Linked DNA regions of Macaca mulatta. Each later gene encodes a partner of the first gene's protein in a complex. Links are inferred from orthologs where the notes say so. Each region holds a gene or a part of one and is shown in the gene's direction. Other genes may lie near its edges. The genes, in order: DDX5, PA2G4, SRSF1 and HNRNPH2.

Region 1 (4,151 bases):
TAATTCGCTCTTCAAAAGCGGTGCTAGACAAAGCCCATGACTCTAGAGGGCACTGAAGAGAAAAAAGCACCACTATTCTTCTGTGGCAGGGGCATGAATAAACCTTAAGAGTGCCGTTCCTTTAAAGACCACTACAAAAGGAGGTACGACCTCAGGGCCCATAGTGCAAGGGAGGAGGGCACATGGACAGCGGCTAGACGCCCCACAGAAAGACAAGTCCGAGGACGACCCTTCTGACTGCTCTTTTTGCAGCCAGGACCCGAGCGTCCTACCGGCCTCGCCCCAGTGCCTCTCTCCCACCTCATACTGCTGTTCCACGGCCTCAAAGCGAAGAGGGGGTGAAGCTGAGAGACCCTATCCAGAGAACCCGCCACCGCGACGCAGCGTCTGACAGTAACGAGCCCCGCCGACACCCCAGACCCAGTCCGGGCTAGCCCGAGGCCTCCCTGAAGGTGGACAGTTTCAGTAAACACACACCGCGACCCCAGGGAAACACTCACCAGCCTCCGAGCGGGCCATGTCTCGGAAGCAGGTCGCCGCCGGACTCCGACGCTGCCAGACCGGCGACGGTGTCCTGCAAGGACCGAACGCAGAGCAGACGCTGGGGGGCGGGCGCACGAACTAAAGCGCGGGGAAGGAGGCGTGAAAGAGGGAGGGACGTTAAAAGAACTTCTCGCCGCTGATTGGTCATCAGAGGAGCACTTCCTTTCACAGCACGTGCCACGGAAGCGGTTTGGGAAGTTTAGAGACCATTCTCCGCCGGCCAAAACCCGTCACAGGATTGTCAGACCCGTGGGTCGGACGGTCCAAGTTAGCCGGCAGCTGGGGGCGGGTCCCGGGTGCTGGCAGCGCACTTCCGGTGAGCTATTTCGTTATGTATCCCTCCGCCGACGTCAACGGGGAAGTAGTGCGGCCCCCTGTCACGGTGGGCGGTGGGGGGGTAACGTCACGTGACAACGCCAGGCCCCCGCCTTCCCTCTCATTTGGTTACAGGCGTGAGGGCTCTTTGGAGACGTAAACACCTCCGAGTGGGGAGGGTGGGCGGGCTTGGGCTGGCTGTTTTATCGTCTGGCTGGGCTTGGGAAAGGGCAGGGTGGCTTTCTTGAGGTGTGGAAAGACGAGAAGAAGGTGAGGTCAAGAGAGTGGAGAATGAGGCATTTCAATGGTGGGTGGGCCCTGACCTGAGAGAGCGGCACGGGGTGGGGTGAAAGCGCGGCGATCGCGGAACGCCGGCGGGCGTTGCGGCCTCTGCGCGAGGGGCGGGGCGATTAGGTCATAGAGCGGCTCCCAGCGTGCCTTGCGGCGTAGGAGGAGGTCCAGACTATAAAAGCGGCTGCCGGAAAGCGGCCGGCACCTCATTCATTTCCACCGGTCTCTAGGTGTGCAGCTTTGGCTGGTGTCATCGCCGTCACTCCTCCGCTGCCGCCCCCGCAAGGCTTCGCCGTCGCCGAAGCCATTTCCAGCGACTCGTCGCACCCTTTTCTATCTACTTCGTTCCCCGCCAACCGCAACCATTGACGCTATGTCGGGTTATTCGAGTGACCGAGACCGCGGCCGGGATCGAGGGTGAGTGTGGGAGCCGAGTTGTCAGGGCTGGCGGGTGGGGGATGGGAGGGCGGGTCAGGGTGGCGGCGGGCCGGGGCTTTGCGGCTTGGACTCGGCCTTTCCGGGCTATCTTGGGGCCTCCTTTCCCGAAGGCTTGCGCCATTTTGATATTCACGTAACAGTGAGTGGGAGAGATTTGACGGGATAGTGTCTTCATCCTCGCTTTTTGTGTGGGGGTCGGGGAGCCGTCGGGGCGGCTGCCATTTGGTAGCTGTTGAGGGAATTCAGAGGGAGCGCATTGTTCGGATGAAAGCGCGACGCTTCGAGGCAGACGAAGGAACAGCTGTTAGGTGCGGCCTTTCGGGAGGTGTTTTTGGGGTGGTCGGGCATTCTGTGGGAGCGAAGGGACCACCTCCAAAGCCACTGGTGCTGTGGGGGTAGGAGGGCGGCCGGCATCAGCCATGTGGCTGAGTCGCGGGTATAAAATGCCGGCCTTGGACATGGCGGCGGCGCCTTTGTTACTCCGCCCGGCGGAGGAGCTCAAAATGGCAGCGTCGAGAAAATGTGGCGCAGAGAGAAATGCGAGACAAAGGGGGAAGCGCCGCCCCAGCGGGAACGCCGCCCGGCCGGCTCCGCCCGGGCCGGGACTCCTCCCCCGGTAGTCGCCGGCTCCTCCTTTTCTTTTTTCCTGCGTTATATAATTTTAATTCGTTGATCCGGAGCTCTACCGCGGCGTCCCCCCAGCTCGGTTTGCTAGCAGAAGTGTTTCTAAACCGTTGTTTCGTTTTCGTTGTCTGTGCTGTCTAGATTGTTGACATCAAAGCTCTTTGGCTTGAAAACGGCCATATGAGTAACATCGTTGTGATGCTCTTCGGTTCATGTAGGCTTGTTATCACTGATAATGAATTGCTAGACTGGTGAGAAAGATAATAGTAACCACAAGAAGTGGTGTGTAATACTAAATTCTGGCATCTGGGTGACAAGTTTTCGATATAGTAAATCCCAGGCTGTTTACGTGGCCTAAGTTGTGTGTACTTGGGACTACGGGAAACGTTAACTGTGGCTGTTGAGAGAGAGATTATCACTAAGGACAGTGCTAGGTTTACCTCTCGAAGTCGGCTTTCAGTGATCTTTAGCTTGTGCCAAGGGATGGTAAACAAATCTGTCCAGAAACCTAGGTGTAGCCATTTGAAAATGTAAATAACTTTTTTTCTTCATTCCAGGTTTGGTGCACCTCGATTTGGAGGAAGTAGGGCGGGGCCCTTATCTGGAAAGAAGTTTGGAAACCCTGGGGAGAAACTAGTTAAAAAGAAGTGGAATCTTGATGAGCTGCCCAAGTTTGAGAAGAATTTCTATCAAGAGCACCCTGATTTGGCTAGGCGGACAGCAGTGAGTAAATTCATGTGGCTTCATCAGGCTGTAACTCAATGGAGTCTAGTAAATGAAATTCTGACAGGTGTTTTGCAAATAACTCAATTTTGGTAGAGTTACGTTTTCTGACTTCGTAATTGGGAAAGGTGTGACTCACTTTTGCAAATAGGTGGCTTTGGGAATTTTTTTTTTTTAGATTGAGTATAGCAGAATAAACGGTTTTTTTGTCATATAGGGTTTTCATACGCGGTTCCAGATTAAAATGAAGCTACTTTAAACTAGTTACTAAATTATGAAGTTACGGGCTTGCCAATTACGTATTTAGTTAGGGGTGGTTGTCATGAGCTTTAAGACTGTTATAATTTGTTTTGCAGCAAGAGGTGGAAACATACAGAAGAAGCAAGGAAATTACAGTTAGAGGTCACAACTGCCCGAAGCCAGTTCTAAATTTTTATGAAGCTAATTTCCCTGGTGAGTGCTACTTTTCAGTTCTACCCTACCCCTGTGTTTTTGTTTTCACCTACCTCCTCCTTTCCTTGGCATCACTAATTTTTGTTAAATATCTGTCACTAATTATAGCAAATGTCATGGATGTTATTGCAAGACAGAATTTCACTGAACCCACTGCTATTCAAGCTCAGGGATGGCCAGTTGCTCTAAGTGGATTGGATATGGTTGGAGTGGCACAGACTGGATCTGGGAAAACATTGTCTGTAAGTTTGAGAGAACTCTTGATGTAATATGTGCAAGAAAACGGAATGCTAATTTAAAAACAAGAGTATTTTAATGTGATTTCTGTTTGTCCCCGTCTTCACCCCAAATAGTATTTGCTTCCTGCCATTGTCCACATCAATCATCAGCCATTCCTAGAGAGAGGCGATGGGCCCATTGTAAGTATATATTTTTAACTTTTTATTAGAAGTGTAATATATAGATTTTTAGACTACATAGCAAAAGATGTAATTATTTGTGGTGGTTTTATACAGAGGTTAGCTCACCCTATTCAGCTGGAGTTGCTTTGGGTATTGGACAACACATGAAGAAAGGATCTGCCATCATAACTAATAAGTTAATAGTTTAAAACTAGTATCCAGGTTTGTGCTGAAAGCTGTTTCTCTTTCCTTAGTGTTTGGTGCTGGCACCAACTCGGGAACTGGCCCAACAGGTGCAGCAAGTAGCTGCTGAATATTGTAGAGCATGTCGCTTGAAGTCTACTTGTATCTATGGTGGTGCTC
Region 2 (4,074 bases), on another chromosome or scaffold:
ACTCCTTATCCCCAAGATCCCCTTTTAGAAGCCCTTCTCATCTAGCAGTGAGAAGCTTCCAGGTAGGACAGAAAGAAGATCCAGCTTCAGCTTCACACCTCTGTCCCCTTGGATGGGGAACTGAGGGAAAATGTCTGTTGTATCACTGAAGTTTTTTGTTTTGTTTTTATACATGTCTGAATAAAAATGCCAAAGTTTTTTTCAGCTTCCTGTCTGTCAAGTGAAAACATTTCGTATAAGAGATCTGCTCCTCAGCAGTGGATAGTCACCTTTCTGTCTTCTGACAGTGCTACTCTGTCCCATGTAGATTTCTCTAGTCCTACTATTACTTGGTATTTCTTTAGAACAAGCATAGCGCATAGTCCTTTTCATTAAGGGTTTTAGTAGAAATCTACAAGGCAACCAATTGGGAATAACAAAAAGAACCCACGTGCTTGAAGATTTATAAAAAGCCCTATACGTGTCCAGTCTCCTTCAGAGGCCAAATACTGAAACCTCCAGATGCTTCTGAATTCATTATCTTAGAAAAGTCACCAAATCTTTTTATTTTTTCACGGTAAGAACTCTCAACAAACATGTCTTTCTGAACACTTCCCTTAGGTGCCCCATCCAGGTGCCTGTTATTGGAACAATAATGTCATGTTACTTCATTAGGAGTCCGGCCTCTAGATTACGAGGCCTTTAAATGGATGATCCCTCCGGTGTCCGGCTGCGCAGCTGGCCCCCGTTCCCAGCACCCTTGGTCTTCTTCCACCTGTCTGCCCCTCCCTGTTCTCCCAGCTTCGGAGGACGACTGAACCGGCTGGGCGGGTTTCGCCAGCCGACCCAAGTATCCGAGGAAGGGCGCACCCAGCCTCCCCGCCCTAGGTGCAGACACTGCCCACCCGCCGCGGCTCCACTCTACTCCACCCCTGCTCGCTCGACTCTAAACCTATTTCCCCGCCGTAGCTCCGCCCCTCTTCCCTCAGCCCGCCCCTCTGTTACTGGCTTTCGCACAGCGTTCTCGGTGGAAGTGGTTTTTCCGGGAGAGACCACGCTTCCCCTCAAGCTCCCCAACGGCTCCGCCTTCCCGCCGGAGCCTGACCCTTCCCAGCGTGCCCGGCGATTCCGGCGTGCGAGGCCCTTGGAGGGCAAGGCCCCAGGGCCTGGCTTAGGAGCGTGAGCGGCAGGCTGGGAATTGTAGTTCGAAAGCCCTCGAGGGCGGCTAAAGGCTGGCGGTGGAGAGGACTAGTTTTCCCAGCGTGCCCTGCGCCTCAGCCCGCGCGCTCACAGCTTCTCGCTCTCGCCTGCCTGCCTGCTCCCTTGCTTGCTCGCGCTTTCGCTCGCCCTCTCCTCGAGGATCGAGGGGACTCTGGCCACAGCCTGTGGCTGGGAAGGGAGACAGAGGCGGCGGCGGCTCAGGGGAAACGAGGCTGCAGTGGTGGTAGTAGGAAGATGTCGGGCGAGGACGAGCAGCAGGAGCAAACTATCGCCGAGGACCTGGTCGTGACCAAGTATAAGATGGGGGGCGACATCGCCAACAGTGAGTGCGACCTCGGGGGTCGGGGAATCAAGGCTGACAGGGAAAGGTGCCAGGCTGGCCCTGAAGGGGCTGGAGCGGAGGGGTCATGCGAACTGAGCTACTGAGGGGCCCGCACCAGTCCGCTGGGGGCGGCGTGGTGGGAAGACCCGGTGTCGCTCCTGGGACCTGAGCGGCCAGGCCCAGGCTGAAGTCTATGGAGGTGCGGGTCGGCGACCGGGATGAGCGGAGAGAGGGTAACCTGGCAGGCTCCGACCCGAGGCCGTTTGTTAGGAGGCAAGACGTGTTTTCTCTTGTTCCTATCCTTCATTCCCGATTTCTGCTTCCTCTGATTCTGGCAACGGCGAGGCCACCTCGAAAAGGAAGCGCCCAGCTATTGGCGACAGAAGCGCCCCTCTGTTTTTGTCGCGTCTGCGGGGCGTCAGGAGCCGAGCCGGCACGTGTTGCTGGGTCCCCTTGCGGATGGCTGGCCCCCTTCTTCCTCCAGTACTGTCCCTGACACCAGCTTCCCCACCACGTGCTTTGCTGGAGCCTTTCCTTCTTCAGCTCTTACCCTGGTGGGGGCCCCCTTCTACCCTTGGGCCAGCTAAGGGGACCGTTGGAGAGCACTCCTGGAGCTTCTAACACAAGTTTTGGAGATATATATGGCTTTTCTTGAAGTTACTCATTATTACTACCTTTCCAATCTGTGCAGATAGCCTTAGTTAGCATTCACATTTGTTGTTCAAAGTGACTTGACAACTCAAATGTTTTGGGGTCTCCGTCTTATCCCAACTAGGCAAGCTTGCGAACATTACTGGAAAAGGGAGGACTGATTTTAGGATTTTCACAAGTCATCCTTATTCCAGCTGTGCTCTGAGGATCTCAGCAGTTGCCTGCCACTCTAGGCGATGTCACTTTCTCTTTTCTCTCTTTCTAGTTAGCCTTTCCATTTTATTTAAAACCCAGTTAGGGAGATACAAACTGCTTGTCATTGTGTTTTTAAATGGTTTTAACAGCAAAGATGGTGGGAAAGAGGTATTTAGGATGCCTCCCATCCTGTGGGTGAAAATCTGAGTTTTACCCGCTTTCAAAGAATCACCAAAACTGAGATTTCAAAACTCAAACCTGTGCTTTATATCACAGTGGACATTTAGTATAGTACCCTGGTTTTGGTGCCTTTTAGTATTTGAGATACTAGGGATTTGAATCAGAAAATCCCTTTCTTACAGTTTATAACTTTGGCCTCATATTTCTTTGAGATAAGCCATGATCCCCCAAAATGAAACCCAGGGACCTTAGATTAAGTCCCCTTGGCTTATACACTTGTTTATGAGGAATTAAGTCTACATAGATTGAGATTCCTAACACCTAATTAGAGTGTCTGAGAAAGGAAGGCGGTAACATTTAACAGTGCTTCAGCTTCGAGTCAGCAATTCTGTCTACATTCCTGTCCCTGATGCCTATAAATTTCATCTAGTCTTTCCATGTATGTGGGGATACCATGGCAAGAACTCTCTGAAGTTCATAACTCTGTCCTGTCACACCAAAGGTAGCATCTTTGGAAAGTCCGAGGCCTTGCCTAAGGAGATGGATTGCATATACCCAGTTGTCACATAATGTAAGGAAGAGAAGGGAATGTTGACCTTTCAGCCTCAGGGCAATGGCACTAGGGAGCATTAGAAACTCTTAAGTTCAACTTCCAGGTATTCCTTGGGAGGTAACTAGACAATGAATACATACAAGGCTGACATGATGGGATTCTGTCCTCAGGGGTACTTCGGTCCTTGGTGGAAGCATCTAGCTCGGGTGTGTCGGTACTGAGCCTGTGTGAGAAAGGTGATGCCATGATTATGGAAGAAACAGGGAAAATCTTCAAGAAAGAAAAGGAAATGAAGAAAGGTAAAAAAAAAAAAAAAAAATCCCTCACTAATTTCCTGTTTGACCCTTATTTGGTCCTATATGTTTTTATTTTTTTCACTGTAATGATGCAGTCCCCACCCTGGCTCTGGCTGAGATATTTGGAAATTTGGAATGACAAGTGGGATATAAGCAGTTTCCTACCTAATACAAACTGATGAAACTTAAGCAAGACCCTGAAAAAATCCTTCCACTCTTCTGAAGGGCACTAGGGCTTCTGGGAGACAGCAAGGCAGTAGGCTGATGATTTTTTCTTTACAGGTATTGCTTTTCCCACCAGCATTTCGGTAAATAACTGTGTATGTCACTTCTCCCCTTTGAAGAGCGACCAGGATTATATTCTCAAGGAAGGTGACTTGGTAAAAATGTAAGGTTAAACCGTTTTAAAGCATTTTTCTTTTTTTAAAGCATTTACAAAATGCCGGTTCCTAATGCAGTACACTCTGATCTTGCCTTTCAGTGACCTTGGGGTCCATGTGGATGGCTTCATCGCTAATGTAGCACATACTTTTGTGGTTGGTGTAGCTCAGGTAGGTGGCCTGCTTTTGATCTCTGTTCAGCCTTGGGGGTGTAGGGAATGCACCGCTATTTCCTTCTTATTCCCACCCCCAATCACCACGCAGGTCAAGAGAGTGTCTAGAGAAGCAAAAGGAGGA
Region 3 (4,255 bases), about 22 Mb from region 1:
CTGTTATCGCAAATTTATGACTGCAGGATTTGATTTTGTTGTTGTTTCCCCCTCCTTTTTTTTTTTTTTTTTTTTTTTTTTTTTTTAGGAGGAGTCTTACTCTGTAGCCCAGGCTGCAGCGCAATGGCGCGATCTCGGCTCACTGCAACCTCCACCTCCAGGGTTCTAGCGATTCTCCTGCCTCAGCCTCCCGAGTAGGCTGGATTACAGGCGCCCGCCACCAAGCCCGGCTAATTTTTTTTTTTTCAGTAGAGACGGGATTTCACCATGTTGGCCAGGCTGGTCTCGAACTCCTGACCTCAAGTGATCTGCCGCCTCTACCTCCCAAAGTGCTGGCGTGAGCCACCGCGCCCAGCCTAATTTTAATTTGAATTCATTAGCGACGTTTAAAAATCCCAGGATTTCACATAAAAATCCAGATTGCAGACGTCGAAAAAAAATGTAAAATGTTATCTCCCAATGTCGCAGGCAAATAAGATCACAGTCCTGAATAGCAACCGCGGTCTCTAGTGGACACGGCTCTCATCCATTTCGGTCCATTTTATTACCTGGGAGGACCGGTATTTTCAATTTCAGTAACTTTTAGAGGAAACTTTTGAAAAAAGGACTGCACACACGCACCTTTTCTTCCTTCTCGTTCTTTAAAAGGAAACAACAGAAACAATTCATTCTGCAGGCAATCTGCGCTAGTCCCACGGATAGGCGATTAACAAGAGATAAAGAGGTGTGGGTACCAGAAGCAGTACTGTTACCCCTTCTGGTTGGCGGGTACCACGTTGAAAGGTCGGGGTACGGGCCCACTGCGACTAGCACAAAGAGTGCTGAACTGAGCTATGCAAAGTTCTGACGAGAAGGTGGAATGGTTCTTAATGAAAAGGATTAAGGAATCTAAACCGGTTTCGCTAAATTAGACACATCTGTCTAAGCAGCCACAGCTTGTTCGCAGCAGGGGCGGGAAGACAAACCAACGCCCCAGCTCTCTATTCAGTCACCGGCAACTCAGCTCTGGACTAGACGCACTCTACGAAGATACCCGGGTTTCCGGAGCAACGGCCCGAGCCCTCCCCCTTTAGCCCCGCCTCCGAGTCTCTTTCCCGCCAAAGGCCGTTATCGCCGCAGAGCATGGTGGGACAAGGCTTTAGGCTAGGTTTCACCAAGTCCTTTGAAGGCGCCGAGTTGCTTTCAAAGCTCCTCATTCCTGGGGAAATTGACTATCCTTCAAGACTCGACCTGGATGACTAGCTCCTTTAACGAGAGTTCTTTATTTAACTTTTACCAAACGGCTGCTCACTCTATTCGCAAACCACCCCAAGCGGGGAACGCGGGGGACTTTTTTTCCCCCTTCGTGCGGAGGGTGACGTCGCGCGTGCGTGCGCGTGCGTTGCGCGTATCCCTCGCAGCACCCGTTGCGCTCCCGCGCGTGCGTGTTGGGATCGAATCGCTGTTTCCTTCCGCTTCTCTTCCTCTGTCTCCCCCCCATATCCGTGCGCCGAGCTGATAAAGGCGCCATTTTGGAGGGGCCGCGGGAGACGTGGTGCCGCTGCGGGCTCGCTCTGCGGTGCGCTAGGCTTGGTGGGAAGGCCTGTTCTCGAGTCCGCGCTTTTCGTCACCGCCATGTCGGGAGGTGGTGTGATTCGTGGCCCCGCAGGGAACAACGATTGCCGCATCTACGTGGGTAACTTACCTCCAGACATCCGAACCAAGGACATTGAGGACGTGTTCTACAAATACGGCGCTATCCGCGACATCGACCTCAAGAATCGCCGCGGGGGACCGCCCTTCGCCTTCGTTGAGTTCGAGGACCCGCGGTGAGGCGGCATGGGGCTTGCAGCCTTGAGGAAATAGGTCCGAGTAGTCGGGGAAGGCTCCAAGGCCTTAACATAGAGAACGGGGAAGCGGGGGCTCTTAGAGAGGTTGGGGCGAGACTGTATCGCCCATGCAGGAGTCGAGTAAGGAGCTGAGTTGGTGTGGCTTCTCTGGCGCCTCGCCTTGGACGTCCCCGGAGCCCATTCGCAGGCTGGAGCGGGAAACTGAGGCGCTGAGGGCTGGTGTAGTGGTTGGGAGCCTGGCGTGTTTCTGGGTGGGGGAGGGGCCATTCCTATTATGCGGCGCATGTGGGCTCTTCCACGTTGGGTGCGCATGTGCGGGGGGTTCCCGACTGAGCGAGCTTCTCCTCCTGGTCTTTCTCATGCCTTTTACTTTCTGCGATCCCGCAGAGACGCGGAAGACGCGGTGTATGGTCGCGACGGCTATGATTACGATGGGTACCGTCTGCGGGTGGAGTTTCCTCGAAGCGGCCGTGGAACAGGCCGAGGCGGCGGCGGGGGTGGAGGTGGCGGAGCTCCCCGAGGTCGCTATGGCCCCCCATCCAGGCGGTCTGAAAACAGAGTGGTTGTCTCTGGTGAGTGTACTTGGTTGTGTGGATTGATGTGAAGGGACGGAAGCTACCTAAAATTTTTGTCTTGCATGATCGGTTTAACAATTGCAAATTTTTCATGCTAGGTCTTAAATTGCTTTAGTTTTTGGGTGAATTTAATAAACGAGGATTGCTGCTGTGGTGATTTACCAAATTAGGTTGCGGTACTAGATACGAAGATCCGTTACAAATAATTTTGGACTCTGGATCCCAGAATCTTACCAGCTCTTTACCTGGTATCACTTAAGTACACCTATTAAGTATTTTAAAGTACTCTTTGTTCTAATGTACCTTACCAGCTTAACGTGAAATTTAAGATAATTGATACTAAGAAAAAAAATCACTTTTTCAGGACTGCCTCCAAGTGGAAGTTGGCAGGATTTAAAGGATCACATGCGTGAAGCAGGTGATGTATGTTATGCTGATGTTTACCGAGATGGCACTGGTGTCGTGGAGTTTGTACGGAAAGAAGATATGACCTATGCAGTTCGAAAACTGGATAACACTAAGTTTAGATCTCATGAGGTAGGTTATACGCTTATTCTTTTCTTTGACCAGAATTGGATACAGTGGTCTTAACAGTGGAATTTGAAGGTAAGAATTCAGGCAAGGGTGTCCAAGTAAATTGCCAGATTTCTGGTTGTAGTTGCATTGTATGCATTCAGCATGCCTGAAGATAGATGAAAGCTTAGATCTTTCAATGGAAAGTTCTGTCTATCCAATAGGGAGAAACTGCCTACATCCGGGTTAAAGTTGATGGGCCCAGAAGTCCAAGTTATGGAAGATCTCGATCTCGAAGCCGTAGTCGTAGCAGAAGCCGTAGCAGAAGCAACAGCAGGAGTCGCAGTTACTCCCCAAGGAGAAGCAGAGGATCACCACGCTATTCTCCCCGTCATAGCAGATCTCGCTCTCGTACATAAGATGATTGGTGACACTTTTTGTAGAACCCATGTTGTATACAGTTTTCCTTTATTCAGTACAATCTTTTCATTTTTTAATTCAAACTGTTTTGTTCAGAATGGGCTAAAGTGTTGAATTGCATTCTTGTAATATCCCCTTGCTCCTAACATCTACATTCCCCTCGTGTCTTCGATAAATTGTATTTTAAGTGATGTCATAGACAGGATTGTTTAAATTTAGTTAACTCCATACTCTTCAGACTGTGATATTGTGTAAATGTCTATTCTGCCCTGGTTTGTGTGAACTGGGATGTTGGGGGTGTTTGTGGTTATCTTACCTGGGGAAGTTCTTATGTTTATCTTGCTTTTCATGTGTCTTTCTGTAGACATATCTGAAGAGATGGATTAAGAATGCTTTGGATTAAGGATTGTGGAGCACATTTCAATCATTTTAGGATTGTCAAAAGGAGGATTGAGGAGGATCAGATCAATAATGGAGGCAATGGTATGACTCCAAGTGCTATTGTCACAGATGAAATTGGCAGTATTGACCTTATACTAAAAGGCAGGGGTTAAAAATGATTATATACGTTTTCCTTAAAACACTTGCAAACATTTTATTCAGTTATCTTTAGCTACAATTGCTTTGCTCTTTAAACCTTGGCAATTGTGGCAAAATTATATTGCCCATTTTGTAGCAACTTATTTTGCTCCCTTCCCCCCATTTTTGTTTTAATAGGGACTAATGTGGGAAGAACTGGCTAATTTGTCACAGTGCTTAGTTACAACTGTTAATGTGTGACCTGCTGTTGGTGTACATGTGGGTACAGGGTGTCTTTAAATCCAACAAGATAGAGTATAATATCAATACTGCTAAATCTGCATGTCCTCTGTGTGACTGATAGAGCGTTGCTATTTCATTTTTTTAAGACAAAATGAA
Region 4 (3,689 bases), on another chromosome or scaffold:
TTAATAATGATATTTGGTGCTCCTGTAGGATCATAAGCCCTTTCTGGGCTTATTGATTCTTGTATGCCAGAGCTGAGTATTGGACATGGCAACTAAAAAATATTTCTAAAATGAATGTGTGAATTCCCAATAATGTCTTTTTTTCATTTATCTCTGAAGCCCAAATATTTCCCTGATTTTATTGATTTGCATACATTTGTATATAAGGAGATTATATAAAGAACGTATATAACCTGTGTTTTGTTTGTGTTTTAATGTTTTAATTGTTGTTTAATCTTTTGATCTAGTGAAGTTTTTTATGTGTGTATATTCAGATATAGCTATCTTTTATTTGTTGACCTATCCCACTGATTTGTTGATGTTATTTTATTTATTTATTTATTTTTTGAGACTTAGTTTCGCTCTGGTGGCCCATGCTGGAGTGCAGTGGCGTGATCTCGGCTCACCTCCACCTCCTGGGTACATAAAAGTGGTTTTCCTGCCTCAGCCTCCCAAGTAGCTGGGATTACAGGCGCCTGCCACCACGCCCAGCCAATTTTTTGTATTTTTAGTAGAGACAGGGTTTCACCATGTTGGCCAGGCTGGTCTCTGACCTCTAGGTGGTACACCCGCCTGACCTCAGGTGGTACTACTGACCTCAGGTGGTACACCCGCCTCAGCCTCCCAAAGTGCTGGGATTACAGGCGTGAGCCACCACACCCGGCCGATTGCTATTAATTTTTAATGGTATCCAACATGTAATAGGCATTGAATAAATAACTTAAAAAATGAATGAGTTAAAAATTTGGTGAACTCTTTGTTTATACAGACATCTTACAGAAAAGCTGTCAGCATAGTTGAATTTTCTATTAATAGTTTGCTTTTTTATCTTACTATATCACGGGCATTTTTCCATGACAGTAGTCTTCTAATTTTTTTTTTCAGCTACACTAAAATTGCATTGAGCCAAACTTGCCACCAAGAGCCCAACAGTCACCATGATGCTGAGCACGGAAGGCAGGGAGGGGTTCGTGGTGAAGGTCAGGGGCCTACCCTGGTCCTGCTCAGCCGATGAAGTGATGCGCTTCTTCTCTGATTGCAAGATCCAAAATGGCACATCAGGTATTCGTTTCATCTACACCAGAGAAGGCAGACCAAGTGGTGAAGCATTTGTTGAACTTGAATCTGAAGAGGAAGTGAAATTGGCTTTGAAGAAGGACAGAGAAACCATGGGACACAGATACGTTGAAGTATTCAAGTCTAACAGTGTTGAAATGGATTGGGTGTTGAAGCATACAGGTCCGAATAGCCCTGATACTGCCAACGATGGCTTCGTCCGGCTTAGAGGACTCCCATTTGGCTGTAGCAAGGAAGAGATTGTTCAGTTCTTTTCAGGGTTGGAAATTGTGCCAAATGGGATGACACTGCCAGTGGACTTTCAGGGGCGAAGCACAGGGGAAGCCTTTGTGCAGTTTGCTTCGCAGGAGATAGCTGAGAAGGCCTTAAAGAAACACAAGGAAAGAATAGGGCACAGGTACATTGAGATCTTCAAGAGTAGCCGAGCTGAAGTTCGAACCCACTATGATCCCCCTCGAAAGCTCATGGCTATGCAGCGGCCAGGTCCCTATGATAGGCCGGGGGCTGGCAGAGGGTATAATAGCATTGGCAGAGGAGCTGGGTTTGAAAGGATGAGGCGTGGTGCCTACGGTGGAGGGTATGGAGGCTATGATGACTATGGTGGCTATAATGATGGATATGGCTTTGGGTCTGATAGATTTGGAAGAGACCTCAATTACTGTTTTTCAGGAATGTCTGATCATAGATATGGAGATGGTGGGTCCAGTTTCCAGAGCACCACAGGGCACTGTGTACACATGAGGGGGTTACCTTACAGAGCCACTGAGAATGATATTTATAATTTCTTCTCACCTCTTAATCCCATGAGAGTACATATTGAAATTGGACCCGATGGCAGAGTTACTGGTGAGGCAGATGTTGAATTTGCTACTCATGAAGATGCTGTGGCAGCTATGGCAAAAGACAAAGCTAATATGCAACATAGATATGTGGAGCTCTTCTTAAATTCTACTGCAGGAACAAGTGGGGGTGCTTACGATCACAGCTATGTAGAACTTTTTTTGAATTCTACAGCAGGGGCAAGTGGTGGGGCTTATGGTAGCCAAATGATGGGAGGGATGGGCTTATCCAACCAGTCTAGTTATGGAGGTCCTGCTAGCCAGCAGCTGAGTGGTGGTTATGGAGGTGGTTATGGTGGTCAGAGCAGTATGAGTGGATATGACCAAGTTCTGCAGGAAAATTCCAGTGACTATCAGTCAAACCTTGCTTAGGTAGAGAAGGAGCACCAAACAGCTACTCCATATATAAAAGCTGTACATTTGTGGGAGTTGAATAGAATGGGAGGGATGTCTAGTATATCCAGTATGATTGGTAAATGGGAAATATAATTGATTCTGATCACTCTTGGTCAGCTTCTCTTTCTTTATCTTTCTTTCTCCTTTTTTAAGAAAACAAGAGTTAAGTTTAACAGTTTTGCATTACAGGCTTGTGATTCATGCTTACTGTAAAGTGGAAGTTGAGATTATTTTAAAACTTCAAGCTCAGTAATTTTGAACACTGAAACATTCATCTAGGACATAATAACAAAGTTCAGTATTGACCATAACTGTTAAAACAATTTTTAGCTTTCCTCAAGTTAGTTATGTTGTAGGAGTGTACCTAAGCAGTAAGCGTATTTAGGTTAATGCAGTTTCACTTATGTTAAATGTTGCTCTTATACCACAAATACATTGAAAACTTCGGATGCATGTTGAGAAACATGCTTTTCTGTAAAACTCAAATATAGGAGCTGTGTCTACGATTCAAAGTGAAAACATTTGGCATGTTTGTTAATTCTAGCTTTTTGGTTTAATATCCTGTAAGGCACGTGAGTGTACACTTTTTTTTTTTTTTTTTTTTTTTTTTTGAAGGATACGGGACAATTTTAAGATGTAATACCAATACTTTAGAAGTTTGGTCGTGTTGTTTGTATGAAATTCTGAGGCTTTGGTTTAAATCTTTCCTTGTATTGTGATTTCCATTTAGATGTATTGTACTAAGTGAAACTTGTTAAATAAATCTTCCTTTTAAAAACTGGAAAAAATCTTGTGCTGATTGATTTTTATTATGTTCTGTCATATGGGCACGCTGATTGACTTTATAATTCCCTCAAAATTAAAATTTTTAATTTTAAAATTATAAACAATATATTTAGCATCTTTATATGTTCATTGTTGCATATATCATTAATTATTTCTAAGATATATCCCTAGAAATGGGATTGCTGAGTCAAAGATACACTCATTTTTAAGGCTTCTGATTTGTGTTACCAGCAAGATTCTGGTACTTTATCTTTTTACCTGGAGTGTGTGCTTTATTTTCCCCCTTATGCCCTCCTTATTGATGCACATTATTCTTTGTGATCTTTGCCAGTCTGTTAGTTGAGAAATGATATCTCATTGCAATTTTAATTTGTATTTTTTTGATTAATATTAAAGTTGAACATTTTCTTCTTTTTTAAAAAAACTTACCATGTCTACAGGACTATTGAGCTACTTTTGGAGCCACTTACCAAGATAGTATTCTCTAAAATCCAAAGAAGTGAAAGCGAATAAATAATCCTTTGTATTTCATCACAAACTAGAAGGCACCTT

Evidence for each region.
Region 2: DDX5 (region 1) and PA2G4 share a complex: the UniProt entries of both Homo sapiens proteins name them as parts of the ribonucleoprotein complex. The link is inferred for Macaca mulatta from reciprocal best matches to the Homo sapiens genes DDX5 and PA2G4.
Region 3: DDX5 (region 1) and SRSF1 share a complex: the UniProt entries of both Homo sapiens proteins name them as parts of the ribonucleoprotein complex. The link is inferred for Macaca mulatta from reciprocal best matches to the Homo sapiens genes DDX5 and SRSF1.
Region 4: DDX5 (region 1) and HNRNPH2 share a complex: the UniProt entries of both Homo sapiens proteins name them as parts of the ribonucleoprotein complex. The link is inferred for Macaca mulatta from reciprocal best matches to the Homo sapiens genes DDX5 and HNRNPH2.

The regions. Positions count from the first base shown.
Region 1 is NC_133421.1:74,403,371-74,407,521, reverse strand, and holds the start of DDX5 (probable ATP-dependent RNA helicase DDX5), read left to right. Parts: upstream 1-1,292; 5' UTR 1,293-1,522; coding exon 1,523-1,566; intron 1,567-1,588; exon of another isoform or gene 1,589-1,851; coding exon of another isoform or gene 1,852-1,895; intron 1,896-2,768; coding exon 2,769-2,934; intron 2,935-3,290; coding exon 3,291-3,387; intron 3,388-3,495; coding exon 3,496-3,629; intron 3,630-3,740; coding exon 3,741-3,806; intron 3,807-4,042; coding exon 4,043-4,151. Other genes in the region: CEP95 (centrosomal protein of 95 kDa), read right to left, coding at 501-519. UniProt on the Homo sapiens protein: Involved in the alternative regulation of pre-mRNA splicing; its RNA helicase activity is necessary for increasing tau exon 10 inclusion and occurs in a RBM4-dependent manner. Binds to the tau pre-mRNA in the stem-loop region downstream of exon 10.
Region 2 is NC_133416.1:63,253,372-63,257,445, forward strand, and holds the start of PA2G4 (proliferation-associated protein 2G4), read left to right. Parts: upstream 1-1,238; 5' UTR 1,239-1,434; coding exon 1,435-1,522; intron 1,523-3,271; coding exon 3,272-3,400; intron 3,401-3,679; coding exon 3,680-3,785; intron 3,786-3,878; coding exon 3,879-3,948; intron 3,949-4,074. UniProt on the Homo sapiens protein: May play a role in a ERBB3-regulated signal transduction pathway. Seems be involved in growth regulation. Acts a corepressor of the androgen receptor (AR) and is regulated by the ERBB3 ligand neuregulin-1/heregulin (HRG).
Region 3 is NC_133421.1:51,982,150-51,986,404, forward strand, and holds the start of SRSF1 (serine/arginine-rich splicing factor 1), read left to right. Parts: upstream 1-1,411; 5' UTR 1,412-1,614; coding exon 1,615-1,808; intron 1,809-2,216; coding exon 2,217-2,401; intron 2,402-2,768; coding exon 2,769-2,941; intron 2,942-3,124; exon of another isoform or gene 3,125-3,141; coding exon 3,142-3,336; 3' UTR 3,337-3,701; coding exon of another isoform or gene 3,702-3,740; 3' UTR 3,741-4,255. UniProt on the Homo sapiens protein: Plays a role in preventing exon skipping, ensuring the accuracy of splicing and regulating alternative splicing.
Region 4 is NC_133426.1:108,302,328-108,306,016, forward strand, and holds the end of HNRNPH2 (heterogeneous nuclear ribonucleoprotein H2), read left to right. Parts: intron 1-903; exon of another isoform or gene 904-924; 5' UTR 925-977; coding exon 978-2,327; 3' UTR 2,328-3,144; downstream 3,145-3,689. UniProt on the Homo sapiens protein: This protein is a component of the heterogeneous nuclear ribonucleoprotein (hnRNP) complexes which provide the substrate for the processing events that pre-mRNAs undergo before becoming functional, translatable mRNAs in the cytoplasm. Binds poly(RG).